7 linked regions of the Mus musculus genome follow. The protein of the gene in region 6 interacts with the protein of the main gene of each other region in a pairwise test. Links are inferred from orthologs where the notes say so. Each region holds a gene or a part of one and is shown on either strand. Other genes may lie near its edges. The genes, in order: Snx7, Zfp414, Ppp1r18, Necab2, Nefl, Tex11 and Mapkbp1.

Region 1 (3,500 bases), on a different chromosome or scaffold from region 6:
AAAAAAATAAAGAAGATGCTAAGCATCCTTAACAGAGCTGGAGACAGGATTCCATTCAACATATTAGAGATTCCATTGGGAATTTTGAAATCTAACCGGTGCAGGGCATACAGATCCATATCAGGAAACTAGTTTGAGAGTGGTAACTTGTGAGCCCTTTTGATCATTTTCATTCTAAATCATTTCATTTTGATCATTTAAAAAATAAAGCTTGGTTTCCTTTTCTTTTCTGTTTCCCAATTTATTAAATTTATTCTTCAAATTTCTGCTGATTGCATGTTGTGTTGTTTCTCTGTGCTATAGACTAAAGAGATTACAGCTGTACCTGCCCCTGACCTCACAGTATACTTGATACCTATATTTTAGCAAGGGCACTTACTAAATGTTGATGTGTAGGTATGGTTTGAAAGCTGTGTAATTTTAAGAAGGCTCTGTAGTAAATAGTTAACTGCCTAATGAGAACCATCAATGTGCACACATATTGAGAACAGAACTCTTAACATTTTTTACTTCCTATTTTTGGGGTCATTAGTCTTCAATACAGATGGACTTTACTCTGAAAAGTGAAGTTAAGAACTCAGATTAAAACTTACATCTTCATGAGATAATCTTAACTTCTGGAGTTCACTTGATCATAGGAAAACTTGGTGCTAGTTGTAGCTTGGAGTGGCAGGATATTTTCCAGTGAATTGTACTGGGTGGAAAGAAGGTGAACTCAAGAGAATATCACTGTGTGCATGGTGATTCCTGTAGAGGGAAGGAAGAAAGCCTATAGTTTTGCTTAGGTTAGTGCGTAGTAATTACCGTTGAAGTGTTTGTATAGATAAAAGAATGGAATAAAGACACATTTTGCTTAGAACTTTGGCTGTGTATACTTAGATACAATATCTATATGTAATTATATGATAGGTGGAATTTTAAAATAGCTAGGATAGTTGTATAATATAATTTTCCAAGCTAGGATAATAGAATAGACATCTAGTTTTGATTATACTTAGTAGCACTTCAAAAACTGACTTGTACAATCTGCAATGGCTGGTTAGTTAATGAAGGATAATATAAGCATTTGCTCATATCTAAACATAAGAACTTGGAGAGAATAAGACAACGTCCTTTCATACTATCTATGATATGGGGATTTTCAAAAACTTTTTTATAGAAGCTGGAGAGATGGCTCATCAGTTAAGATTTTTATTGATCGACCAGAGGATGTGGATTCAGAAGCCAGCAAATCAAGCTTCAAGGGTCCCAGCACCCCCCTTTCTGCTCTCTGTGGGCACCTGAACATGAGGCATACACTCACGTACCCAACCAAACAAATACAAATAAAACGTAAATCTTTCAAAAATGTAAACTGACAATGACACTTTTTTTCTCTTTTTTTTTTTCTTTTTTAGACTATTTTGATGAAATGAAAGAATACGGCCCTATTCATATTCTATGGTCAGCCTCAGAGGAAGAGCTGGTCGACACGTTGAAAGGCATGGCCGGCTGCATTGAGCAGTGTTGTAAGGCCACGGAGAAGCGGATGGCTGGCCTGTCAGAGGCCTTGCTCCCTGTCGTCCACGAGTATGTGCTTTACAGTGAGATGTTAGTGGTAAGACCCTGAACTAGAGTCTCAGCGCTGTTCTCTTCATGATGCTGTCTCTGTGTGTCCACCACTCTTTCCTGTCCTAGTTGGATGTTGTACGTGTAGATGCCCAAGAGATATCTAACCACTGTAGCCAGGCATCAATGGCTAAGTGACCACATAGACAACAGCTGGGCTGCTCAATAGGAATAATTTATGTGATTGGCTTCGATCCAAAGCATCCTTAATCAGGACTGACTTAAGGAGCAGTTTTCTAACACCCAGTTTTACTTTAAAACATGTCATTGTTTTATGCTTTATAGATTTAATTCCTTGAGAGTTACTTTCCTGTATCATTTATGATTTTGAACATATGTCCTATGTATTGTGTATATATATCATGAAGAATATAATTGATTGAGTAGTAGGGTCTTGATATATGCATGCCGTGCCTTCAGGCTGCTTCCGAAGAGAAATCTTCCAAGTTAAAATGTTCCCTTACACCCTGTAAAAAAGCCTTTTGTTCGTTATATAGTCATCTTACATTCTTCTTCCTCAGTTCAACTTAGGATTTCCAGATACTTGTGTTTGTTTGGAAACGGTGATGTTTTTGTCCTCTATTGTCCTGTGTTCTCAGCATGCTGGCTCCTTCTGGTGTCGAGTCTTTCAGGGGGATGTTGGAGGATAACATTGGAGATGTATAAGCATATATTCCAACATAGCCCCTTCTGCTTGAAATTGGAGCCATGACTGATTTCAGATGGAATGCACCTTGATTCCTAGTAATTTTAAAAATTGTCTCTATCTTGGTAAGAAAGGGTTGCAGAGCTGTGAAAACATGAGTTATTTCTCTTGTGTCTCGTGTTTAGGCTTTACTTGAGAGTCACTAGATCTTGCATGAACTTTGCAGACTTTTGACGTTACCTGGATTCTGAGGAGTTGTCTATAAACAACACTCCTTGCTTCTCAGAGACTCCATGCTTTGCGGCTGAGAGATCTTCCTCTCCGTCTATTGCCTCAGCTGCGTCTCCTGGTTTTCTCTCATTAGTTACTTCTCCTTGTGATCCTTCTTGGAAATATGGTTTATCTGTTTCATCCATCAGTTCGGTAGTACTTATCCCTCTTGTTAAGTCAAGCTAGACACCATGAAAGCAAAATCTTATGCAATTAAAGTTTGCAAAAAATCATAATAGCCACTAGAAACATCCATTATAAAGCTCCTTGGTGGATTGAATTATTTTATAGAGACCTAGGATATAATCACTAGTTTTTGTATTACATTTTTGCTCCTGTTTCATATAGGATATTTTCATCTGAGTTAAAATAATCACTAGTGATACCTTAATAGATAATGATTAAAATTATATGATATTTACTGATTATCCTATAAAATATATATTTATATTAAAATATGTTTATAAATTAATGCACAGTACAGAAGTAGAACTTGAGTATGTGGGACTTGCTGATAGTATGAATTATTTAGATTGGAGGAAAGAAAACCTGCCTTGACATTAATCAAAGTAAATGATATAAAGGAATTTGTGACAATTAGTTGAATTTTCTATTGTTTTTCCTGAGATTTGTCTTACGTACCATACCTTAGTTATGCAAAATTGGTTTCATTATGACATCTTCATATATGTATATATTTTCATTTTGCCCCCTTCCACTCCGGATGATACTTTTTCTTCCCAACTTCTTTCATGCCTTGTTTATTGATTAACTGGATGCTCTACTAAATTTCACGGGGCTGCTTACAAGATAAGGGTGGGGTGGTTATAGAAACAGGAACAGTTTACCAGTGGTAACACCACTGAGGAAAAGGTATCTCCCTTCCCTAGCAACTGTTAACAGCCTATGGATTCTCATAGACAGAGAATTCCTTATGTCTAGCAGAGTTCTTTAAGTCTAGCAGATCCTAAGCCCA
Region 2 (4,295 bases), on a different chromosome or scaffold from region 6:
ATGTGTGCATATATACATGCAACCACATACACAAAAATGGAAAAACAAACATTCATCAATGACTACTTCAGAAACCATGGTTTCTCTCTCTTCCACCTCTTGAAAGTCCTACAGGAGCCAGGCGTGGTGGCGCACGCCTTTAATCCCAGCACTCGGGAGGCAGAGGCAGGCAGATTTCTGAGTTCGAGGCCAGCCTGATCTACAGAGTGAGTTCCAGCCAGGGCTACACAGAGAAACCCTGTCTCGAAAAAACAAAACAAAAGAAAGAAAGAAAGAAAGAAAGAAAGAAAGAAAGAAAGAAAGAAAGAAAGGAAGGAAGAAAGGAAGCCCTACAGGACTCACCCAAGTTCTCTTTCTGACCTCCATACCAACATCTTTATTCTGTTTCAATAGTGCAGAGGTCTCGCCCTTGCTTACGAAAGGGGAGCTTGCTCTTTGCCAGCTCAGGACATCTGCGCCAGCTTGCTGTAGTGCTCTGCTTCTGTAGGCATCAAGGCACAGCTCAAGTCACCCCCTTAGACAGGCTTCCCTGACTCCTCATTTCACATCAGTTTTGTTTGTTTTCTTATCTCCTAGGATAGATCCAAGATCATTTTTCTGCTGTTGTTGATTTATTGTCTCTCCATTTTCTTGGTTGACTAGAGACTCCCAAGAGCAGTACTAAGTTCCTGGCACATAGGATGCACTTAAGGAAAGTAGGGTGGGCAGGCGACCTCTCAGTAGTAGTGCACTTGGGATTCATTTTCACACCTCTCGACCTGTGGAATTTGCTTGTTCCTGAAGATCCATTAGTTAGAGTGTTTCTCACATTGGGCTATTACAACAGATTCGTACTTGCTGCACACTGGATGTGCTGAAAATTTTATGGTGCTTGCTAGGAAGATGGGTCTGTGCAGACACAAGGGACCAGGGTTCAAACCCACAATCATGTAAATGAGAAAGAGTTTGGATCTCTAGCCCTCCCTGTGAGGCATAGCAGCTTCCTGTAATCAGGGCCCTTTGGAGGTGGACACAGGAATCTTCTGACAAGTAAGTTAGCTAGCTAGGTGGGAACTGGTGAGCTCCAACTTCAGTGAGAGATGTTGCCTCAGTGAATGAAGTGGAGAGCAATGAAGGAAGACAATGTCTACCTTGGACCTCCGCTCTTACCTGCTCACATCTGTGCATATACATATTCATTTGTACGTGTATGTGTACAGAGCTAAGGATGTGGCTTGCTTTGTAGAGAGTTTGCCTAGCATATATGAAAACTCTGGGTTTGATACTCAGTACCACCTAAAACCTGGTGTATTGGCATCTAAGTTCAAGGTCAACTTCTGTGTAAGGCCAACCTGGGCTATAAAAGTGGGGAGGGGAAGAGCTTTTGTCAGTTTTCTCTGAAATTTAAGACCAATCAAAAGCAGACCTTCTCTGTTTCTGTATAAGAGCTGCAGTGTAGTCTCAGGCCCCTCCTTCTAGAGAAGCGCCCAGAATTAGGCCACACCCCATGTCTCGCGAGATCTGAGAAGCGGGAAAATGGCGCCGATGTGAGCGAGAGACCGTGTCGCCGAGGAAGACGCCCCTGCTGGAGCCAGAGCCTCCGAAGGCACGGGAACCAGAGGTGTAACTGAGTAGAGGATGGTGAGCGCAGCACCCCGCACGCGGACGCGGAAGAGCAGCGGGACTGACAGGGAACGGTCCTGCCGCGCGCCCCCCTCCAGCTGACCCCGCCCCCACATCCGGGTCCCCGCCCGCCTCTGACTGTCACTTAGCTTTCGTCCAGCCCTGAAGGCCGGGCCACACCCACTCTCCTAGAGTTCAGTCCCTAAATTTAACACGTATTGGCTCAGAGCGTCTATCTGCTCAGCTCTAGCTTAGCCAGTATTCCCCATCATCACACGATCCACTGTAGGCCCTCCAGCATTTCCTAGTTGCTCCTCTAGGCCACACCTCCGCCCCTAGTGCCTCTCCTGCCAAAATTGAGGAAGGGATGTTAATGCTGCTTTTTTATGCATAATCCCTGATAACTCCTGCAATTGGAATTAGGAGACAGTAGCTCGGTCTGCCCTTATCTCCCGTATCTTGCTGGTGACTCAGAAAGTGGAATGACTGGGTAATATCTGGTGAGTGTTGAAGGAGTCTGTCTTGTGGACCTTTGTAGTAGAAGGGCATCTGTCTGACCTAGGGATCCCAGCCTGATTTTAGCCACTTCTTGCACCAGGAGGAACCATCCAGGCCCAGCTCGGACACGCTGACCACTGTAGAATCCAGCTCCGGTGAGCCAGACAAGGAGGTGGCATCTCCAGATGGGGCAGCTCCAGCCACTTTTTCCTCCGTGGAGGAGCCCAGCCCTAACCCAACAGCCATGCCACCAGTGTGGGACCATGGAGGACCTCTGCAGCAAGTTGCCTATCCAGCCTCAGACAGTTGCCAGACTGGCTCAACCAACACAGGCGTGGGGACCAATGAGGACCTTCGGTTGCCCAGACGCCGTCCACCGCCAGGTTATCTGTGGACCTTTCTGGGGAGTCACATGCCTTTGATAGGGCTGAGATGGTGCAAGACAAGGAATCACCTTTTATCCCATTGCGGGGGTGGGGGGGTGGGGTGGGGGGTGGTCTTCACCATTTACTGAGCACCTTGTCAATATGTCAGGTGTGGCTCCAGAGATGAACTAAACCAATCCAGCCCTTCCGGGCAGTTTATTCTGACAGTGGCTGGGTGGGGAGTAATCAAGGCTTTTGGGTAGGTCAGTAAGGAAGAGAGTAATGACACCCATTCGTTCCTGCAGGGAAACAAATACCCTGCTCTAGCCCCGGCTGCTGCCTCAGTTTCCCCAGTGTTCGTGATCTAGCACAGCATCTCCGTACCCACTGCCCACCCACACAGTCACTGGAAGGTAAGATGAGGGTTGCTGATAGTGAAGCAGATAGGCAGAGCCCCCCCCCCCAGAGTTAGTCTTAACCACCCCACTCCACATCTGCACTTTATCCCTACCAGGCAAACTCTTCCGATGCTCCGCGCTGAGCTGCACTGAGAGTTTCCCCAGCATGCAGGAGCTGGTAGCCCACGGCAAGCTGCATTACAAGCCCAACCGCTACTTCAAGTGAGAGCCTGACCATCCCCCTCTTTCAATTCCCAGATCTTTAGTGCTTCTTAGTGTGTGTGGAGGAAGGGTGGGTTGAAGTATGAGTGTGGCCTGGGAAACCAGCTCCAACCATGCATGGAAAACAGATGGGAATTAAGTCATTCTGGCTACGGGCTCAGTTTGGAGGTGCAGGGTATACATGCCGTGGTTCCGTCCAGTTCTACCTCATGTCTTATGTGGAAAACTGGCACTTAAGTAAAACCAAACTTGAGATTCTGAGCTGGAAAGGTCCAGAAGAATTAAGACTACAGTAAAGGAGGGCCTGTAGGCCAAGCTCCTTTACTTTGTGTGCAGTACTACAGAGATTCTGATATAGATACCCTTCCTACATCTTGGTCCCTGGGAAGCAGTGGATAGGCCCTTCCTGTTGCCCAGGATATAGTCCAGTACTGTGCCTGCCCCCAGGTGTGAGAATTGCCTCCTGCGCTTCCGCACTCACCGTTCACTCTTCAAGCATCTGCATGTTTGTATAGACCATGGTCAGAACCCAGCCCCGCCACCACCCCCTGCCCTGGACAAAGAGCCACCTGTACCCGAGCGTCCCCCAGAGTCCGACCCTTCGTCTTCCCTGGGCCTGCCATTCCCACTACTTGAGCCTTTTACCTCTGCCCCCACTGGGCCCTTCCTTCCATACTTGAACCCTGCACCCTTTGGCCTGAGTCCCCCTCGACTGCGCCCATTCCTGGCTGCCACTCCAGGGCCACCAGCATCCAGCACTGCCATCTGGAAGAAGAGTCAAGGTGAGTATAGGAGCAGGTTGCCTGCAAAGCTGGCTGAGCCCACCTTTATTCTGAACTTGAACTGCTTCTTTCCTGCAGGCGCTACCAGTAGTCCCAGAAGACCTCAGGGTGGCTCTGATGCGCCCTCAGGTGCGTGCAGGTGACCACCAGGGCAGGGTGGAGGGGCCTTCATTCCTATGCCCTGTGTGGGCCTTGCGAATGCTGGAAAGCAGCAGTGCCTGTCCCTTAAAATACATGATTTTTACCTTTAAAATGACTGGTACCTATGCCTTCATCTGCGCTGGCGTTCCTGTGTAAACATTTGTGTCTTGTCCAATCTCTGAGTGCTCTTCTCCGGTGGTGGATCCAGGGATAGGAGGCAAATGTGGTGCCTGCGGTGATGGGCAGTCAAGCCCAGGAAAAAGAATCCAGCTTGCCTGGACCCTGGC
Region 3 (4,189 bases), on a different chromosome or scaffold from region 6:
GAAGCACTGTCTAACATTTGCCCAGTTTGGGGGGAGGGGTAGGCAACCCTGAAGTCACCCACTTCAAATGGCCTCTTCTTGCCAGGAGTGGGGGCCGACTTGGGGTCTAAACTCCTTCTTCCTTCAGCCAGCTCTGTTCCATCACCCCAACCCACCCCCCACCTCTGTTCTGGAATGTCCTCCATTAGCTTTGACCCCCTCCTCCTTCTGGGGCTGAGACCTTCATTCCAACTTCCCTGAACTTCTCCGTCAACCTTCTCTGTCCCCCTGGGTTATTTTCACACGCCTTCACAGGTACGTTATCTTTTCTCTCTTACCAGAGGGTTAACTGGGTCAAAAGCCCAGAGGAAGAAAAGGAGAGGGGACCGAGAGAGTGGGGAAAGAAGAAACAGGCAGGGCACACCCGAAAACGACACACCCCAACACAGCAGTTGAGTGCAGAACAGAATCCTTGGGGCTCCAAAATGAATGGCAAAGGAAGGCTACCCAGAGGAAGGGTGTGTGCAGGGGGAGGAAGGGAGTCGGCAGGAATAAAAAGAATAGAAGACAAGAACACACACATATAAAAAAGCCATCCAGTCAGAACTAGAAAGAGACTTCTACCCAGTCAGGCATGGTAGCTCTCTTACCTGTTTGTGATGTCTTTCAGGGGACCCCTTGACAAGGCAGCTGCGGCTGAGACGGAGGTAGCCCCCCAGCACCAAGATCTCCTCTGCAGTTGGGTACCGCTTCTTCCCAGATCCAGACCCTGCAGCATCAGCTGTAGCAGGGTTGACTGGAGGGGCTGGGCTGGCAGGGGGCGCACACCTCCGTGGGTTGACAGTGAAGGTGTGTCCACTGCGGCGGGGGGCCCCCACCCCCGGTCCTGGTTTCACCCCATAGAACAGACGGCTCATGAGGGGATCCCCAGAGGGTTGGGGGGCAGTTGGGGCCGAGGGTGGGGGAGACAGAGGGGCTGGTGTTGGGGGCCGGGGTTCTGCCGCTTCCTCTTCCTGCTGTCTGGAGCCTTCCGTCCCAGAGTGCTCTGGTGGGAGGGGGGAGGGCCCAGAGCAGAGGTTCTGCTGGGCTCTCAGAGGCCTGCTCTGAGCCTCCGCCTCCTCCTTCTCAGCCTCCTCTTCAGCCTCCATACCAGAAGGTCCTGGGTGCTTCTCTGAAGATGCTGGAGGATCTGGCTTCTGAGTTTGTGTATCTATGTCCCAGGTCGTCCGTTCTCGAGCCTTCCCAGAGTTTAGGGTCCATTTCCAGCTTTCAGTGGGTCTCTGCTCAGCAGTCTCCACTTCGCTCGAGGTGATGTCTTGAACCTCCTTTGTCACCGGAACAATCCCTGAACTCAATTTCTCTTCCTCTCTCCCACACCCTTCCAAGTAGTCTTTCCTCTCTTCACCGGACTTCAGCCTCCACTCTGTGGCCTCCAGCTGTATCAAGCTCTGTTTCTGGGGTTCTCTTGAGTCAAGATTCCATTTATGGACATCTGTCGGGCTGGCCTTCTGGTCACCAGGCTCCCCAGGGCTCAGAATGCTTTCCAACACCTCCTTTCTCTTGGGACTGTCATCTCCAGAACCCGCTAATCTCAGACTCTCCTCTGGAGTTTCTCCAGGGCTCAGCCTCCATTTCTGAGCCTCTGCTGGTCTGGAACTCAGGTCTCTGGCCTCTGCTGGGCTCTGCCTCCAGTCTCGAAGAGACCTCGAACTTGACTCTTGGGCTCCCCCTATCACCAGCCTCCTATCTCTGGACTCCCGGGGACTTAGCCTCTCTTCTCTGGACTCTCTTCCCTTAGGACTCTGATCTCTTAAATTACCAGGACTTGATCTCCTTTCTAGAACCTCCAGAGGCCCAGCCTTCCTATCACCAAGCACCTCGTTTCTCTGCTGCTGCTGCTGTTGCTGCTGCCGCTGTCGCTCCTGTTGGATGAATCGATTCTGATGTACTGGTCCAATAGCCTCCAAAAGGACAGCAGATTCATCTGGGTCTGGAGGTCCAGCCTCAGCATTCCCAGGCACAGGGCTCCCCTCTCCAGGAGGCAGGCCCAACTTGGCTCTGCGTCGTTCCAGGATTCCCCTCTTCCAGGCTGGCATCTGGGACAAGCGATCCCGTTCTGCTTTCTCGCGGCCACGAACCGCTGCCTCCTCCTGCCTCCGCCGGGCTAGCAACTGTAGCTTCCAATCTGGGATAGCGGTCATGGTCACTGGAAGTGAAGGAGAGAGTATTGGGGGACAGGAACAGGAAGGGTAAGCTTCAGAGGAGCCCGGAGACTGAGAATGGGGGTTGGGGGAGGAAGTGATGCGGGAAGGGACGAAGAAGGGCAGGAGGGGACAGTGGAATTAAGAATGAAGATAGAGGAAGGCCGTGAAAGGAAGGACAGCAAAAGAGTCAGGAACTGAAAAACTGAAGAGAAAAGCTGGGTGCCAAGTTGGGGGTGGGGATAGTGGGAGAGGAAGAGTCGAGATTCCGGGCAGAGGCAGAGCTAGATTGGGGTTTGTGGGCACCAGACCGTCCCTAAGATATAAGAAAGGGGAGAGAGGAAAAGCAGGAGAGAGAGAGGAGCCGGAGGAGCCGGGGCTGAGAAGTGAGCGGATTCAGTCAAGACTGCCTCCCCCGGTACGCAGGGGGAGATAAACGGGAAGAACAGGGAACCAGACGGCGAAGGGCGAGGAGATCGGGCAGGAGGTGAGGAGGTGAGGACAGATGTAGAGGGCAGAGGTCCAGGGTAGAAGGGGAGACCGGGAAACAGGCAAGGGCGCCGGCGCCTCTTCGCACGGGGCCCCCGCAGCTCCCGGCTGCCTTCCCGGCTGCGCTCGGCCCCGCCCCTCAGTCCGGCCCCTACCCCACTGTCTTTCCCGCCCCCGAGGCGGGTCAGGGGAAATACCCTCCTTGGGGACTTTTGGTACCCGAGCAAGTGTGCAGCCCCGTACATTCCCAGAACCCTGGCGTCCAGCCGCGTTCAGTCCCTACAATCTCGCCGGCCTCCCCACCGGATACGCTCCAGAACTCGGGCGCGACGAGGACCCACATCACGCCTCTGCTGTCTTCCCCAACCAGGGAGCCGGCTCTCAGGGGACCTTGACCCAAAGGGTTGTGCACCAGAGGGAACTGAAGGGACAATCTATGCAAAAGGGGAGACACTCCAGGGAAGATCTGGAGCCAGGAGGCACTTCTCTTAAAGTGGGAGCCACATAGTCAACTTACACGCCTCGGGGTCCCTAGGAGGAGGTGCAGTGGAGTCAGGCGTCGGGAGAGAGGAAGAGGAGGAGAGAGGCGAAGGGAGATCCGGAGGGAGGGAGGGAAACAGAGGAGGAGGGAAGAGGGAGCCTAAGAGGAGGGACGGAGACGCAGACTGGGGGCCAGGCGGGGGCGGCGACCGCTTTGTCTACGGACAATGGGGCGAGGGAAGGGGGCGCAGGGAGGAGCCCGGCGAAGGGCGGGGCTTCGCTGCCCTCCTTCCCGCGTGGACTCTGGTGGGACTTCTCTCTTGCTGTGGCTATCCCCTCGCTCTCCGTTGTCTGTCTCCAGAGACCTTCACCCGCTTCCTTCCTTGCAGCCCCGAAGAAGCGGGGTGTCCAGACCCACTTCTCCAGCTGGCCGACCCGGGGCGGCGGCCCGTGACTCAGGCCCCCTGAGGGACATGGGGAGGAAGCGGCAGCTGCTTGGAGTCGGACCCGCCCTTCCCATCTCTCGCCGCTCCTCCCCACGCTTTTTCTTTCCCTAGCCAGTCTTTGTTACCGTGGCAGAGAAGGCGGCTGCCAGGCCCTGGGGTCTGAGGCAAAATGGCTTTGGGAGTTCGCTCTCCTCCCAGAGAGTTATTCTGTCTCCCGTGGGTTCCCTGATTTATACGCGGAGAAACTAATATTTGGAGGGAACAGGACTGGACGACTGAGAGATGGGGCGGGTCCATGGGGTGTGGCCCCAGCCTTGCGATCGTTTTAGAGTGCTCGGCTATCACCGCAAAAACTAGGTCTCATCTTCCTTCCCACAATTGGTTCTGCGGCTTGAGAGTCATGGACAGACAAGTGGATATCATATGTATAAAATTTTATTTTTTCTGCAGCGCATATCCTTTGGGAGAGCAGGGAGCCCTGAGTCAACCCGAGTTAAAATCGGGAGACGTCGCCTTAGGAGACCACACAGAGCTGTAGGGAAAGACCTAAGGAGAAACTAAGGCAGGAGTGGGGAGGAAGCACAGCCGCGGTAC
Region 4 (3,500 bases), on a different chromosome or scaffold from region 6:
TTGTTTTTGTTTTTTTAGACAGGGTTTCTCTGTGTCCTGCAACTCACTCAGTCTGGCCTTGAACTCAGCGATGCACCTACCTCTGCATCCCAAGAATGTGTGACTCAGTGTGTTCCCAGGAGGCTGCAGAGAAGCTGAGACCTCATGCGTCCTGGAGACAGTGTCCCCTGATCTACTGTGAGAACCAAAGTCACTCCTACATGGTGGCATGCCCAGAAAATCATACCCTGTCAGGTCTCCAGCCTCAGCTCTGTGCTACCGCTTTCTATACAAACAGCAAACTGGCCTGGTAGCAACCGTGTACCCACACCACCACTAGTCTCTGGGCCCCCCAAGTGATCCAACCTGCCCTAGCACCCTAGAAACATTAGTCCTCAGCACCTTAGTGGGGCAGAGGAAGGTGACCAGGTGGCTGTTGCCCACCTAGACTGAATTCAGGAGCATCAGATAAAGGACAGTGCACACTCATGCTGGCTTTGGAGGCCAGGTACCCTGTGAGACTGCTACGGGGTCCAAGTCATGAGTGAATTGTAGAAAACAACTCAATTGGCTTCAAAGCCAGAAGTGAGGTTCAGGATAGAGTTGGGATTCATATGCATTACAGGGGGTGGTTTGGGATGGTGGTTCACAGGAACAGGATCTTAGAATGTAGATCCTGGGGTAGTTCTGGGATTAGAACAGAACGGAGAGAGAGCAGGCAGGGTCATGGCCAAGTTCCATCAGTCCTGTGTATACTACAGCAGGCCCAGGGTCTCTTACCCCTTGGTAGCACATAGGACAAACTCTGTGGCAGTCACACACACACACACACACACACAGAGAGAGAGAGAGAGAGAGAGAGAGAGAGAGAGAGAGCGAGAGCGTGCTTGGCACACAGCTTGGCAGTGAGAGCCAAACAGGTCTGATGTTTGGATTACTGGGTCAGGGGAGTTCCAGACCTCTTGCCCTTAAACAGGACCTTGGCATTGTGGAGATGGGAGGAGCCTATACATCCCCCCCCACAGTGCCCCATGGTAGCCCGGGCTCACTTGGTGTTGTCTGAATCGATGGTATGGAAGAGGCCCTCCAGCTCCTTCTCATTAAGGACGCCATCTGCGAAGAAGAGTTGAAACTCCTCCAGGGACAGCTTCCCATCATCTGCAATGGGCAGGCAAGGAAGCAAGTGGCTGTTTGTCTCCGAGAGAAGAGCACACAGTGGTAGCCCACAGCCTATCCCCACTACTACTGACTCAGCTGACAAACTCCCTGTGATCAGCCTGAGGCCTCCCGACAGGTAATCCCAAACCATCGGAGGCAATGGAAGCTGGTTTCTGGGGAGCAAACACCTTCGTGCCCTCTACCAGGCAATCACCCCTTCTGCTCTTCCCTCAGTCATCTGACACAGACACTATTTAAGTAACATGCTTAACCTGACACCACTAGCCTATAGGGATCACGTTCAACCCCGGCCCCACGTCCCAGGCTCTGGGATAGTCTGAGGATAGTCCCTCTATTGCATCCTTCCTCAAGGCAACAACAGTTTGAACTCAGACCTTCAACCTAACCTAGAGCAGGACTTTGTGCCACACGGTAGGTGCTAGCACAGTCCCCCACCCTTTGGGTGGCTCTATCTTTCGTGAAGTAGCTGGGCTGCATGGAAAAGCTGAGGCCAATGCTAGGCTCAACACATGTGTGCTGTAATTGATTAGTCATGTCTGTCCCGGGCACAGCATGGGGTGTGCCAACACCAGGTCCAGTTTCCCTCTTGACTGCTTCCACCTGCTTCTCATGGGTGGTACCTCAGTGTCCTCCGTACCCAGAGAGAACAGGAAGCTGGAAGACAGGGCTTGCAGATTCTCTGATCACAAGCCTGCTGACATTTACCTTGGGTGCTAGCCACAGGCCTAATGAGCACAGATGAGCTATTAAGAGGAAAAAATATCCTCCACTTGGCCTCTGGTCCAATTAAGAGATGACAAGTTATCCTGTAGCTTCATCACTTCTGCCAATAACCCAAGCAGGGCTGTTTGCAGGTGGTGCTACTAATGAGCAGGAGCCCGGCCTGCCGCAGTGACCTTTCAAATAGCAAGAGCCTGTGAGTCTCACATCCCGGGAAGGAGAGACTGACTGATCCTCACCCTTCTGCTAAACGTCTATGCCCGTCTTCCAGCGATACCCAGGGGTGCCAGTCAGGACTCTCATACTAGCCTTCCCTCGGGCTATCTCGTGCCCACCACGTCCAAGCTAGTCTTTATCGTGAGAGCCTCCCAGAGACACACAGCCTTGTTCTTATGTTGGAAGGCATCCTGAATACATTGGCACAGGCCCTCCTTTGCTTTGGGCATAGTGCCCTCACCGAGAACACAAGTCCAAACACCCAACCTGCGGGAGTGGAGGGGGTCAGGAGGGTGCAGTCTAAGGCTCACTGCAAGCTGAAGTTGACACTCCTGTGACCTGTGTTGGGGGCGGGGCCAGGCCTCTTTCCCTGGGTAGTGCGGGCTCTGCACAGTGCTACCACATCTTCCGTACTGTTTGATTTCCCTACATCCCTGTGTTGTGTGTGGGATCTGCAGGTGATCCTTCACTGCCAGGCCTGGGAAGATGCGTATCACCTGGGACAGGCCCAATGAGGGCAACACTCCTCTGCAATGATCCTAACCCAGGCCTGCTCTTCTGCCTTTTCATAACCCAAAGGGCTCCACCCCACCCCACAACCACATGGGACGGTTAACAACAGCTCCTAGGAAGGACATAGGAACTGGACAAAACTGGAGCCACCTTGAATTGAAGGCCACTTGGGAAGGGCCTCAGGGCAGGTGACAGGTACAGGCCTCGTCAGTACTTCCTTCCTGGATGAACATGCTACCCTCTGGTTCTCTTTTGAAATGTCGTAGGTCACTCACATACATCTCTTTACCTTGCCCCAAAGCTCAGAGCAACACAGGACAGCTGTTACCACTTCAGCTTACAGAAGGGGAAACTGAGGCCCAGAACAGCGGCAGGACTTGACCTCTGGATCTTCTTGTGCTCTTCATCTTCAGGACCATAGTCGTCCCTGTCCCCACCCCTAGCTCTTTCCCATGAAGCATCAGGACAGGGAGTGTGGGCAGCGGAGCACCTGGAAGGAACTCACCATTTTTATCGGCGCGGCGGAAAATCTGGAGAGAGGAGGGCTGGAGTCAGTCCTGAGATGAGCCTGGGCAGGTGCCCTGAGCAGCCTCGTGACCCAGCTGAGATCCCTCTCCCAGGAGCAGCTTGGAAGCCCAAACTTCCCCGGGAGACCTCGAGGCTGGGACCCAGCGTGGAGAGACTGCAGCAGGCAGAGGCCCTCCCCAGCCTTCACAAGCTATCAATCCCTCTTCCCACTGCGCTGCCAGCCTGCCCACGGCTGCTGACAGACACACACATTCGTGCTACACACTCACGCACACCCACACGCATCTCTGCAGGTGTGCGCACACTCATCCCCCTAGACTCTCCCATCACTGAGCACACAGCTGCACCCAGCCATGCTCAGAGAG
Region 5 (4,278 bases), on a different chromosome or scaffold from region 6:
CCTGGACGTGGCTGGTATAGTAGGCTGGGAAAGAGCGAGCAGACATCAAGTAGGAGCTGCTCTGCAAGCCACTGTAAGCAGAACGGCCGAAGACCTGCGAGCTCTGAGAGTAGCCGCTGGTTATGCTACCCACGCTGGTGAAACTGAGCCTGGTCTCTTCGCCTTCCAAGAGTTTTCTGGTGGAGAGGGAATGAAGAGTACAGTTAGAGCAAGGCTGGATGTGTTCATTGCTCTAAGCCCACATTCATTACTTTCCTCTACAACCAACCTCAAAGGCAAATACAAGAACAAATACGGTTAGGCATAATCAAAATTTAATAAGGAGTTCACGAGAGACCCCACCCAAAAAGACCTTCTATGCATCCCTATTAGGTTTAAAATATGAATGCTAAGAACAGGGCTTATGTTACTTCAGGGTTAATTCCCTACACATTTGTACCCTCTTGGAGGAAGACCAAAGTAGGACTATTCTAGAGCACGTGGGACTCACTATAACTGCACTGACTGGGTCATCTGCTCTGTCCTGAGCCGCCATGCCCACTGCCAGCACCACCCTGATGTTACCTGTAAGCTGCAATCTCGATGTCCAAGGCCATCTTGACATTGAGGAGGTCCTGGTACTCCTTCAGGTACCTGGCCATCTCGCTCTTCGTGCTTCTCAGCTCATTCTCCAGTTTGTTGATTGTGTCCTGTAGGAAGATTGTTTTAAAAAATTCAAAACACAAATCTCTACTGCATTTGTTTTACTGTAGTATCCATGATAAGTTCTGGTCTTAGTTAACTCCAAAGTGTACACCTTCCAGAAATCTCCCTTAAAATAATGGGGTGGGGTGGGGCATAGGGGGAGGGGTTGGCCTAAAATGCCCAGTCTAGTGAAGCAAGAGAAGGAGAGGAGGAAGAGGAGGGGAGTAGACTGATGTGAACAATTTTGAAAATTGTTCTCAATTGATTATGGTAAGCTGTCTTTTAAAACTACCAAATTGATGATGATATTATTATTATTATTAACCACCCTTGTCACATTTCTTTTAGCCAGGTCGCATTTGGGAAGGGGAATATATATATAGTGTGTGTGTGTTTGTCTAAATAAATATATAAATAAAAATTAAATTATATATATTTGTGTAGCTGTTTGTCTAAAATGCTTCCCCCCGCCAAAGATGAAGAACTTTTTTTTTAATGGACTGCAGTGATTAATTGCTAAAATATTGTGACTGTATTCTTGTGTCCCTATTAAAAAAAAAAACTATCCCAAGGCTGGGTGGCCCAAAACTAGTGAGAGCTAGCAGGCATATTTATTAACCAGGAGATCCAGGAAGTACTGAGGGTAACTTGGGAGTTAAGGGTTGTCAGTAAAGAGAAGGCATTACTTGGCAACGCCCAACTCCGACTCCCTCCGCCCCTTCCTCCCAACTCACCCCTAACAACCCTGATTCAACCAGAACAAGCAATCCCCAGGCAGCAGTCGCGCCCCGCCCCCTCCAAATGCCCCATCCTTTCCACAACCTCTCGGAAGCCAAGCCCTCTGATAGCTGCTCTGTGCTCTAGAACCCCCTAGCGTTCACTCTCTGGGTACACCCTGACTCCCCCCCCCCCCGCCGCCGCCCCTACCGTGGACCTCCCCACCCCCACTGAGCTTAAACCGTACTATACCTGCATGGCGCTAATGTCTGCATTCTGCTTGTCCTCTAGCTCCTGCAGCTGCTTCTCCAGAGCTTCGTTCATACCCCGGCAGGCTTCGATCTCCAGGGTCTTAGCCTTGAGCAGGCGGCGGCTTTCCGACACCTCGTCCTTGGCAGCGCGCACAGCGTCGGTGTTCTTGGCGGCGCTCTCGGTTAGCACGGTGAAGCGGCTCTTGAACCACTCTTCGGCGTTCTGCATGTTCTTGGCGGCCAGCTTCTCGTACTGAGCGCGGATGTCCTTGAGAGCGGCGGAGAGGTCGGGCTTGGAGGACACGTCCATCTCCACGGAGATCTGAGCATACTGGATCTGAGCCTGCAGCTCGGCGATCTCTTCCTCGTGCACCTTCTTCAGGAAAGCTATCTCGTCCATCAGGCTGTCGATGCGCTTCTCCAGCTCGGCGCGGGCGAGCGCGGCCTCATCCGCACCTTTGCGCGCTTCCATCAGCCGGCCCTCGGCGTCCTCGCGGCTCAGCACTTCTTCCTCATAGCGAGCCTGCAGGTTGCGCAGAGTCTCCTCCAGCCCCTCGCGCTCGCCCTGCAGCGCCTGCTTCTCGTTAGTGGCGTCTTCCGCTGCCAGCCGCAGATCGCGGATCTCCTGCTCGTACAGGGCGCGGAAGCGGGAAGGCTCAGAGTGTTTCTGGCGCAGCACCAACAGCTCGGCTTCCAGGACCTTGTTCTGCTGCTCCAGCTCGTGCACGCGCTCGATGAAGCTGGCGAAGCGATCGTTGAGGTCCTGCAGCTGTGCCTTCTCTTGTGTGCGGATAGACTTGAGGTCGTTGCTGATGGCGGCTACCTGGCTCAGATCGAGATTCTCCAGGCTGGGCATCAAAGAGCCAGAGCTGGACGAGTAGCTGCGGCGCACGGACAGCGAGGAGGAGACCGGCGCGGAGTAGCTGGAGTACGCGGAGCGCGCCGTGCTGTAGCCGCTGCGCACGCTGGAGATGTGCACCCGGGGCGTCTCCACATAGCGCCGCTTGTAGGAGGTCGAAAAGTACGGATCGTAGCCGAACGAACTCATGGTGGCGGCCGGTGCGCCCCTCAGGCCCGGGGCGGAGATGGGGGACCTAGAGAGAAGAACGGGGGAGAAGAGGGAAAGGGGAGGATGGATGGCTGTGTGCGGCTCGGCGCGGTCCTGCCACCTCTATTTATACGCCGGGACTCTGACGCAGACTGTGATCGATCGCCGTGCGCAGGCCAGTGGGGGCAGCGCGTTGCTGCAGCCAAGGGGAGGATTCTGCGCAAAAGCAAAGGCGGGGGCGAACGACAGAAGGCTAGCGAGCTGCGGCTCCAGCCTGGCCGCTTTTCTATGAGGACCCCTACTTTCTCTGAGACCCCCATAACTTCCCTGCTTATTCTTTTCCTTTCCTATTCCCCCGTCCCATCCTGCCTCTTAATACCTAAAGCCCACATCACTAGGACTCTTAAATGTTCCAAATAAAAAGGTTCGCGATCCCTACTGACACATCAACTTTTAACATCCAATGTCACAAAGACACCTTCACCCCACCCCACCCCACCCCACCCCACTCCCAGCTTTCCCTTTTTGCCTCAGGGACCCTCTCAAGCACCCTGATTCGTGTTTAAGCAGCACGTTTGGGTTGCTGACAATAGCTAATGTTCTTGCGGCATTACTGCAGGAAAAGTTTTGCATGTCTTTGTAGCTATTTTCTGACGTTTTCTTAAATTCGCCCCACTTTCTCCTGCCTCCTTTTATTTTTATTTCTATTTCTTTCCGTATTACTCTTCTTCTCAATACATAGGGAAATTGCACCACTACACACCATTGGAACCGCAGGACAGCGGGTGTTCATTTTGGCATTTTAAAACCTTTACAGCAGTTAATTTGTCTGACACCTTTCATAGAATTTCCCCTTTCTTTGTGAGAAATGTAGTCGGGAATGCTTAGGAGGGGTTGGAACCAGCCAGGTAAAGATTTGCAAGGCAAAAGACGGGCGCGCTCGGCCGCGGGAGAACTTCAGGGTGCCTTTATCCTCACTGAGCTATTCATACTTCCAACGCCTCAAAAGCCTCTTCTCCTCTTTTTAACACCTGTGTGGTACCCCAACCTGATGGTTTCAACAAGCCATGAAGGTAGATGGGGAGAGAGAGAGAGAGAGAGAGAGAGAGAGAGAGAGAGAGAGAGAGACTGCTGCAAAGGGCTACCCGCTCTGGGTGTGGTCTTCAGGAAGAGAACGCTGCATGGAGCCTGCTGAAATTCACAGATAATAGATACACTTAGGAACCTATGGGCTTCCTTCAGGGAGCACCCAGATACCAGAGTGGGCACGCCAAACGCACGTGGGTGCAACATTTTCATACTCGCGTTGTGAGCGCCTGCAGTTCCGAAGAGATACTGCAGATTTGTAAGAAATAACTAAAACCTTTAAGCAAGCATTTGGCGTTTTGTTTAATTTGTTCAATGTATCGCTGGCTTGCTGATTCCTTTAAATGGCACAGTGGGAGGTTACCGTTTTCAAGTAAAAAGTAGTGAAATTTTTGGAGTTGTACTCGGTCGCTTCTGGAGACCAAACAGAGGATGAAGGGAGCTTAATTCTGTATATTCCTTTCTCGTGTTACACATACTGTGATTCTGATA
Region 6 (3,500 bases):
AGGTACAGGGGACATACTCAGTATAATAAAGGCAATTTATGGTAAGCCCACAGCCAACATCAGTCTAAATGGAGAGAAACGCAAAGCAATTCACCAAAATTAGGAAGAAGACATGGCTGTGCTCAATGTAGTCCTGATGTCTTAGCTCGGACACTAAGACAACTGCAGGGGGTCAAAAGTATACAGATTGGAAAAGAAGGATTCTAAGTATCAATATTTGCTGACGATATGATACTATAGGTAAGTGACCCCGAAAATTCTACCAGAGAACTCCTACAGCTGATAAACACCTTTAGCCAAGTGGCTGGATACAAAAGTAATTTACAAAAACTGGTAGTGTTCTTGTATACAAATGACACACAGACTGAAAAAGAAGTCAGTGAAACAGTACTTTTAACAATAGCCTCAAAAATATCATGGGACAACTCTAAGCAAGTCAGTGAAAGAAGCCCTGAGGGCCAGCATAAAGAATGGAAACAGGCAACCTTGGGAGGTGGGAGGACCCTCTAGAATAGACTAGAGACCTGGGAGGTGAAATGCCCAACAGTGGGGAGAGGGAACTGTAGGGTCCATCTCTAGTAGAAAGACAGGGTATTAAGTGGAGGGATGGGGTTGCCATCCCACAGTCAAAAACTCTGACCCAGAATTGTCCCCATCTAAAAGAACTGCAAGGACAAAAATGGAGAAGAGACTGAGGGAAAGGAGGTCCAGTGACTGGCCCACATTGGGATCCATCTCAAGGCAATGCTCCAAGACCTGACACTATTACTGATGCTATATCTTGGAGAAAAGACAAGCATTATCAACGAAGAGTGCTGGTCAAACTGGTTGGCTACATGGGGAAAAATGAAAATAGATCCGTATATATGACTGTACAAAATTCAACTCCAAAGTGATCCAGCGCTTCAACATCAGACCAAGTACACCAAGTCTGATAGAAGAGAACACAGGGAATAGGCTTGAACTTACTGACACAGAAAAGGCCTTTCTGACTGGACCCAATAGCACAAGAATTAGATTAGGATCAACAATAAAGAAATGGGACCTCATGAAGCTACAAATCTTCTGTATGGCAAAAAACATTATCATTCAAGAAACTAGCAGCCTACACAATGGGAGAAAAAATCTTTATCAATTATATAACTGATAGGATGTATTTAGAACATATAAAGAACTAAAAAGAAAAAAGAAAAAAAGACCCAATTAAAAAAATGTGGTATAGGGGCTGGCGAGATGACTTAGTGGGTAAGAGCACTAATTATTTTCTGTATAAAAAGCTAAGCATATGATCATGTTTCAGGTAGGGGCAATACTGGACAGGAAACTCACAGGAAAATTAAAAATCAGCAGGCTCTCTAACAGAAGAGTGATAGGGATTAGAACTGTAGTGTGATTGATAAAAGTGGCAAAACTAAGTTCTTCAGAGAAGCTGTGGCCTCACAGAGACTATAGAGATTAATCAGTGTGGAGTTACAGTAAGTCTAATTTTTAGTTTGCATATAGAATACAGTTAGAAGTTCCAGATGTAGCTTCTGGATTAGAAATGGAATTTCCCCCTCTTCCTAAAAGGTTAAAGGTTGCAAAAGAAAAACCAAGTTGTTCAGTGCTGAGGTTTTTCATATTTAAATTCATATAGGCCGGAATTAACTTGTTCCAGGAAAAGTCTAGATTTCATTAGTCACTGATAGCTTGTATCAGATTGGCATCCTACTTACTATCTTATATTGTGATTTACAAATCCTGTTATATAAAAACAGCCAAGATTCTTAGATTTTGTTGTTGGTTTTGTTTACCTGCTTGATTTTGAGACAGAGTGTCATGATCTCAATCACTATGTAACCAAGGATGACCATGCATTTCTGATGCTTCCAGGTACTAGATTACAGGTGTGTGCCACCACATCTGGCTATGTGATGTTGGAGACAGAACCCTCAGCAAGCACTGTACAAACTGAGCTACGTCCCAAACCTATACTTAGATATCATTATGAATGTAAGTAATGGCTTTTTGCATTCTTTTCAGCAAGCCATCTTACTCTCCTGTTCTATAGCTCTCATAAACAACAGTTAACATCTTACATATCTTATTCATGAATAAGTTTATAGCACAGATACTATTTATAGTGACCCACACATGTGCAATGTGGTAGGCTCCAAAAATACAAAACAATTCAAGATGAATAGTAGTCTTGTTATTCTGACCCAAACCTTATACTTATACTAGTAAACTTATACTAGAAAATCCCTACAATTGACTACATTTTATAAACTCAGAGATACTTTTAAGGTGATATCTACATTGTAATGTGAATTTACCATAAAAATCCTATCAGAAAGTATCATTCTGTATGAATTCAAATATACAATTCCTTACAATCATCTGCAAGTTTACTATTGCTCTTTGACTTACGTTTTGGCGAATGATGCTCAGAGTATTTTTAAAATGGCTCTGAACTTCTTTTAGGGGATACAGCGATATATTCCATACTTCATCTGCCACCAGAAGTTTAATCAAGTTGTGCATGCATACGCTGAAAATATAAAGAGAGAAACGTAAGAAAATAAAAAGTAAGGAAAGAGATCAGTGGCCTGGCTAAGACAGTTAACTCTGAGTCTCAGCTCACACTGAGAGCTTTGTAGTACTTCTGCTCCTTCTTTCATTTTGATCTTGCTTCTAATCTTGGAAGACAGAGTTTTGAAAATGTAAAAGGGGTTCACTAGCCCTTCCTTTGATACTTGTTGTTGGTTGTCATTTTAGTCAACTTCACTTCTCTCATAAAATAATTGTTTAATTAACGTATTTTAATGTGTGTGTGTGTGTGTGTGTGTGTGTGTGTGTGTGAGCCCAACGCACACAAGCTTGAGCAGAAGTCAGGGGACCACTCTCCAGAGTTGGTTCTCTCCTTCAACTATGTGGGTCCTGAAGACTACACATAGAAGACCATCAGATACGGCAGCAGGTACCTTCATCTGATGAACCATTTTGCCAGCCCAATCACACCATTGTCATATTTTATGAGCTGATTTAATTTATGGGCATTTAAGCAATCATGCTACCTCCTCAAGGACACAAAGATATTAAAATTGGACTGAAATTGACAAAAAGTGAAGATCTTACTTCTCAGAACAGAAAGACTGTAATGAATTTTTCCTGAAAAAAAAAACAAAACCACATAACATTATTGATACTTAAAAGTACTAAGGAAAAAAAACAGAAGAAAATTAAGGAAAAATGTTGAAGTTGAGTGGTGGCTACAAAGTTATGATAATTTGGGATATTTAGTAAATGACATGAAAGAAGGAAGATACATAGTACTATTTTATTATATGCCTAGAAAAATGAAGGAAACCAGGATATACCCTTCTTTTTCTCCCCTGAGAACGGTGGATTCCTTATTCTTGCTTAATATTTTTCAGTGTCTAATGCAATGTTCACTGCAGAGAAGTTTACAGGATAGTTTCCCTATAATCTTCTATGTTGGCCCCATTGATTATAGTGGC
Region 7 (3,500 bases), on a different chromosome or scaffold from region 6:
AACCCTGTTCCCACCCCTGCCCTGCTGGGGACACCCAGTGCCCTTACCTTCTGTGCAGTTCGGAAGTAAATGCTCTTGTCTGCACCACAGCTGATCATTCGCACTTGCCCATCACTGGCTGTAGGGGACAGGGACCTGGCTGCTTCCACCATATGAAGGCAGCCTTTCTCCTGCCTTCCCTTATTTTCCCCAATGGAGCTACTCTACATGGTGGACCAACCAAATAAAACAGAGTGCATCCCACAAAACCCATGCACCCCCTCCTCAGCCCTCAGTCTGGCTCAGGGTCCCCTAGACTGAAAGTCTATATTTCACCTGCCTTCCTACCTAGCCTCATGACTCCCGGGTACCTCCCAATCCTTCCCAGCAAACTCTTCTCATAAATGTAGGTGGTAGGTAGAGGGATGAATAGCTTCAATTGCCCAGTCCCCACCTGCAAACTTGACAGCAGTGATGGAAGATGAATGCTCATCCAGTGTCTGCTGTAGACTATATTCCCGGCCAGCATCCAGCACGTGGATCAGACGGTCCCGGCTTGCCGATGCTAGCAGTTTCAAACCTGGGGTTGGAAGAATCTTATCAGTTCACGTTAAGCTGGCCCTTATCAGTGCCTGGGAAAGAGCCCCAAGTAGACAGAGCCTCATATCCCTAAAGCCACAGAACCACAGAACAGGGGCAGAGATCTTACAATCCTGCAAACACCAAGTGATCTGAATGAATATAGGACCCAAGATTATCAGAAGCCAAGGCAGGTATAAGGTGGCACTGGCAGGACAGGAGGGGCTGTGCCAGAGCTAGACCCTGCTAGGGCATGGGTTAGGCCTTACCTGTGTCTGGCTTAGAGTACTCCAGGCACAAGATCTCAGAGTCGTGGGCCTCCACTTTCAGCATCTCACTCAGGGACTGCAGTTCATGTATCCTACAAATAAGAGACATCATTGCCTGGCTGTGAGAGGAAAGGCCTCCTTCTTCTGTTACATCCTCTCCCCACCTTTAAACAAACATTTTAAAGCTTTAAGAAAAAGTTCAAACACTGAAGGTGTTCTATATCCCCTTGCCCAGTTCTTAACTAGCATACATAACAACAGCACATGTCAGAGCCAGGCATTTACATACTGTTAAGTAGGTATATTATTATTTTTTTAATTAATTAATTTATTTATTATATGTGTATACGCTGTAGCTATCTTCAGACACTCCAGAAGAGGGCATCAGATTTTTGTTACGGATGGTTGTGAGCCACCATGTGGTTGCTGGGATTTGAACTCAGGACTTTTGGAAGAGCAGTCGGTGCTCTTAACCGCTGAACCGTCTCACCAGCCCAAGTAGGTATATTATTAACATGCCATTATTTGTCCATATGTCCTGGATTCAGGATCTTAAAGAATGTAAAAGGCATTTAGCTATCACTGCTCTTTAGTTTCCTGAAGTCTGTGGTAGTCTCTCCATCCCTCCTTACCTTCCATGTCCTCGACACTTTTGAAGAACACTGACAATTACTCTCTTGTATGTACCTCATTTGAGCCTCTCACAAGTGAACTGAGTTATATGCATTTTTTTAAAGAACACCACAGAAACAATATTATGTCCTTCTTAGAACCCCTTATCTTGAGCTTCCTCATGCGGATGTGTGACTGATAGCTGTGCCTATGTCTGCGATGGCTTTTTCTGAGCTCACCACTGTAAGCTCATTCTTTCATTTTACAGAATAAATATCTTGTTTCTAAGCTTTGGGGGGAGACAAGCCCTCCTAAAGCGCTGCTCTTGAGGATCTAACTACCACAGTCACCATGAGAGGCAGTCAGTACCTAGCTCAGAACTTGACCTTACCTAAGTGTCCCCATGCGGTCTCCGGAGGCCAGGTGCTGTCCATTGGGGCTAATACACACGGACCGGATGCCCACTCGGGGGTCCATCAGCGACCCATCAGCTTTGTCTCCTCCAGGCAGCTCAGTGTCCAACAAAGCCTGAGTGTTCCCATCCACATAGATGATCTTAATGAGATCCTGGTGGGAAAGGAGAAAGGAGACAGCTCAGGCAGTACCAGCAGGATGGCTGCAAGCACAGAGGGATGCTGGGTAAAATCAACCCTAGGCTCAGAGAGTCCAGCCAAATAAAAGCTGAATGATCAAGATTCGGGGAGCCAGTTCCTGAAAACAAGGTCAAAATCTATAAGCATGGGGGCATAAGTATGAAACGGGAGGCTCACATTGCTGAGGATGTTACGGTGCAGGGTAGAGCCATGTACCCCAGAGCTCTCTGTGTTCCACAGGCGGATGGTGTTGTCTGAGGAGCAAGTAATAAAGGAACTGGGGGGAAGACAGGCCTGGTGACTGTCCTTGATCTCAGGGTAGACCTGAAGGGACAGAGGGAGAGAATTAGACTTCCGCTTTGGGGGGCATTTTTGTCTACTCAGGAAGAAGGAAAGGGTTATGGCATCCAAGGCAGAGTGCTAAGACTTAGCTATTGTCTGACATTTAGTAAGGAAAGGAGACATTACTGTTATATATGCACCCAGTAAGGAAAAGCCCGCGATCCCAGCTCCTCCTGTGTGCCATAATCTCTCAATTACGTTATGTCATTTCATTGTTAGAACAATTGGGAAAATCTGATACATCATTTTACAGTTAAGGGATCTGAAGCTTAGTCTGGTTTAGTAACTTATCCAAGATTCCTGAGCCGAGGATAAGGCAAAGACTCAGGCTAGGCAGAGACACACAAGAAGGCTGAGGTGCATGGGCACCAACGTTCACACTGGAGCTCTAGAAGCTCTAGAGCTACAGCAGGGAAGCCACTGAGAGCCGAGGGGCAGGACCCTAGGGCCGTGCTTGGTGTTCTCTGCTTTCTATTCTCACAGTGGAATTACTGCAAACCCATCCCACGTACCTCCACACTCCAGACACAGGAGGAGTGATACAGAGCGGAGTACACCTTCCCCACTTTCTTGGGGTCCCTCACATCCCAAACATATATGCTGTGGTCGTTGTATACACAAGATAGCCACTGATTAGTTGGATCGAAGGTCAAGGCAATGGTGTCTGGGTACCTTGCATTGACCCCTCCAGAAAAGAGGCGACTGTGGGAGAGAGGACAGGAAGTTACCACAAAGGAAGGAATGGAGCACAGGACACTGTCTCCAGTCCTACAGATTTGGAAGTAGAACTGAGAATTCAAAAGCAGTGCCTAGAGATCCAATCCAGGAGCTCACCCAACCACAGCTACTGGGCAGAGTGTTTTCCAGAGAAATGCTAACAAATTCATAGATCACCAATACCAGACAAGGCAATTCTGTGGTTACAATGGAGCACAACAAAATCTACATGGTTCTATGAGTATTTCTGCACAGAGATCAAAACAAGACTATACTACATACCACAAAAATAGGGTTTGTGATATAGCTCAGTGGTAGAGCACTTATCTAACAAGCAAGGCTCTTGGTACTATCTCCAGCACCTCAAAATCTCCTCCTCCTCTTTCTCTTCTTCCTCTTCTTCCTCCTC

Evidence for each region.
Region 1: the proteins of Tex11 (region 6) and Snx7 interact in binary tests that used the Homo sapiens proteins (3 or more experiments, as listed by UniProt). The two-hybrid records come from large-scale screens. The link is inferred for Mus musculus from reciprocal best matches to the Homo sapiens genes TEX11 and SNX7.
Region 2: the proteins of Tex11 (region 6) and Zfp414 interact in binary tests that used the Homo sapiens proteins (3 or more experiments, as listed by UniProt). The two-hybrid records come from large-scale screens. The link is inferred for Mus musculus from reciprocal best matches to the Homo sapiens genes TEX11 and ZNF414.
Region 3: the proteins of Tex11 (region 6) and Ppp1r18 interact in binary tests that used the Homo sapiens proteins (3 or more experiments, as listed by UniProt). The two-hybrid records come from large-scale screens. The link is inferred for Mus musculus from reciprocal best matches to the Homo sapiens genes TEX11 and PPP1R18.
Region 4: the proteins of Tex11 (region 6) and Necab2 interact in binary tests that used the Homo sapiens proteins (3 or more experiments, as listed by UniProt). The two-hybrid records come from large-scale screens. The link is inferred for Mus musculus from reciprocal best matches to the Homo sapiens genes TEX11 and NECAB2.
Region 5: the proteins of Tex11 (region 6) and Nefl interact in a two-hybrid assay, tested with the Homo sapiens proteins (2 studies listed by BioGRID and IntAct). The two-hybrid records come from large-scale screens. The link is inferred for Mus musculus from reciprocal best matches to the Homo sapiens genes TEX11 and NEFL.
Region 7: the proteins of Tex11 (region 6) and Mapkbp1 interact in binary tests that used the Homo sapiens proteins (3 or more experiments, as listed by UniProt). The two-hybrid records come from large-scale screens. The link is inferred for Mus musculus from reciprocal best matches to the Homo sapiens genes TEX11 and MAPKBP1.

What each region holds. Positions count from the first base shown.
Region 1 is NC_000069.6:117,830,937-117,834,436, reverse strand, and holds part of Snx7 (sorting nexin-7), read left to right. Parts: intron 1-1,397; coding exon 1,398-1,597; intron 1,598-3,500. UniProt on the Homo sapiens protein: Involved in the regulation of endocytosis and in several stages of intracellular trafficking. Together with SNX4, involved in autophagosome assembly by regulating trafficking and recycling of phospholipid scramblase ATG9A.
Region 2 is NC_000083.6:33,627,597-33,631,891, forward strand, and holds Zfp414 (zinc finger protein 414), read left to right. Parts: upstream 1-1,495; 5' UTR 1,496-1,617; coding exon 1,618-1,620; intron 1,621-2,025; exon of another isoform or gene 2,026-2,102; intron 2,103-2,200; coding exon 2,201-2,483; intron 2,484-2,770; coding exon 2,771-2,878; intron 2,879-2,979; coding exon 2,980-3,085; intron 3,086-3,532; coding exon 3,533-3,867; intron 3,868-3,945; coding exon 3,946-4,010; 3' UTR 4,011-4,120; downstream 4,121-4,295. UniProt on the Homo sapiens protein: May be involved in transcriptional regulation.
Region 3 is NC_000083.6:35,865,226-35,869,414, reverse strand, and holds the start of Ppp1r18 (phostensin), read right to left. Parts: upstream 2,801-4,189; 5' UTR 2,186-2,800; coding exon of another isoform or gene 2,181-2,185; coding exon 630-2,180; intron 1-629.
Region 4 is NC_000074.6:119,449,719-119,453,218, reverse strand, and holds part of Necab2 (N-terminal EF-hand calcium-binding protein 2), read right to left. Parts: exon of another isoform or gene 3,138-3,500; coding exon 3,113-3,137; exon of another isoform or gene 2,897-3,112; intron 1,138-2,896; coding exon 1,029-1,137; intron 176-1,028; exon of another isoform or gene 89-175; coding exon of another isoform or gene 81-88; intron 1-80. UniProt on the Homo sapiens protein: May act as a signaling scaffold protein that senses intracellular calcium.
Region 5 is NC_000080.6:68,082,385-68,086,662, reverse strand, and holds the start of Nefl (neurofilament light polypeptide), read right to left. Parts: upstream 2,801-4,278; 5' UTR 2,701-2,800; coding exon 1,654-2,700; intron 690-1,653; coding exon 565-689; intron 177-564; coding exon 1-176. UniProt on the Homo sapiens protein: Neurofilaments usually contain three intermediate filament proteins: NEFL, NEFM, and NEFH which are involved in the maintenance of neuronal caliber.
Region 6 is NC_000086.7:100,846,640-100,850,139, forward strand, and holds part of Tex11 (testis-expressed protein 11), read right to left. Parts: intron 2,531-3,500; coding exon 2,410-2,530; intron 1-2,409. UniProt on the Homo sapiens protein: Regulator of crossing-over during meiosis. Involved in initiation and/or maintenance of chromosome synapsis and formation of crossovers.
Region 7 is NC_000068.7:120,014,199-120,017,698, reverse strand, and holds part of Mapkbp1 (mitogen-activated protein kinase-binding protein 1), read right to left. Parts: intron 3,077-3,500; coding exon 2,887-3,076; intron 2,357-2,886; coding exon 2,210-2,356; intron 2,007-2,209; coding exon 1,831-2,006; intron 920-1,830; coding exon 828-919; intron 560-827; coding exon 434-559; intron 183-433; exon of another isoform or gene 120-182; intron 119-119; coding exon 48-118; intron 1-47. UniProt on the Homo sapiens protein: Negative regulator of NOD2 function. It down-regulates NOD2-induced processes such as activation of NF-kappa-B signaling, IL8 secretion and antibacterial response. Involved in JNK signaling pathway.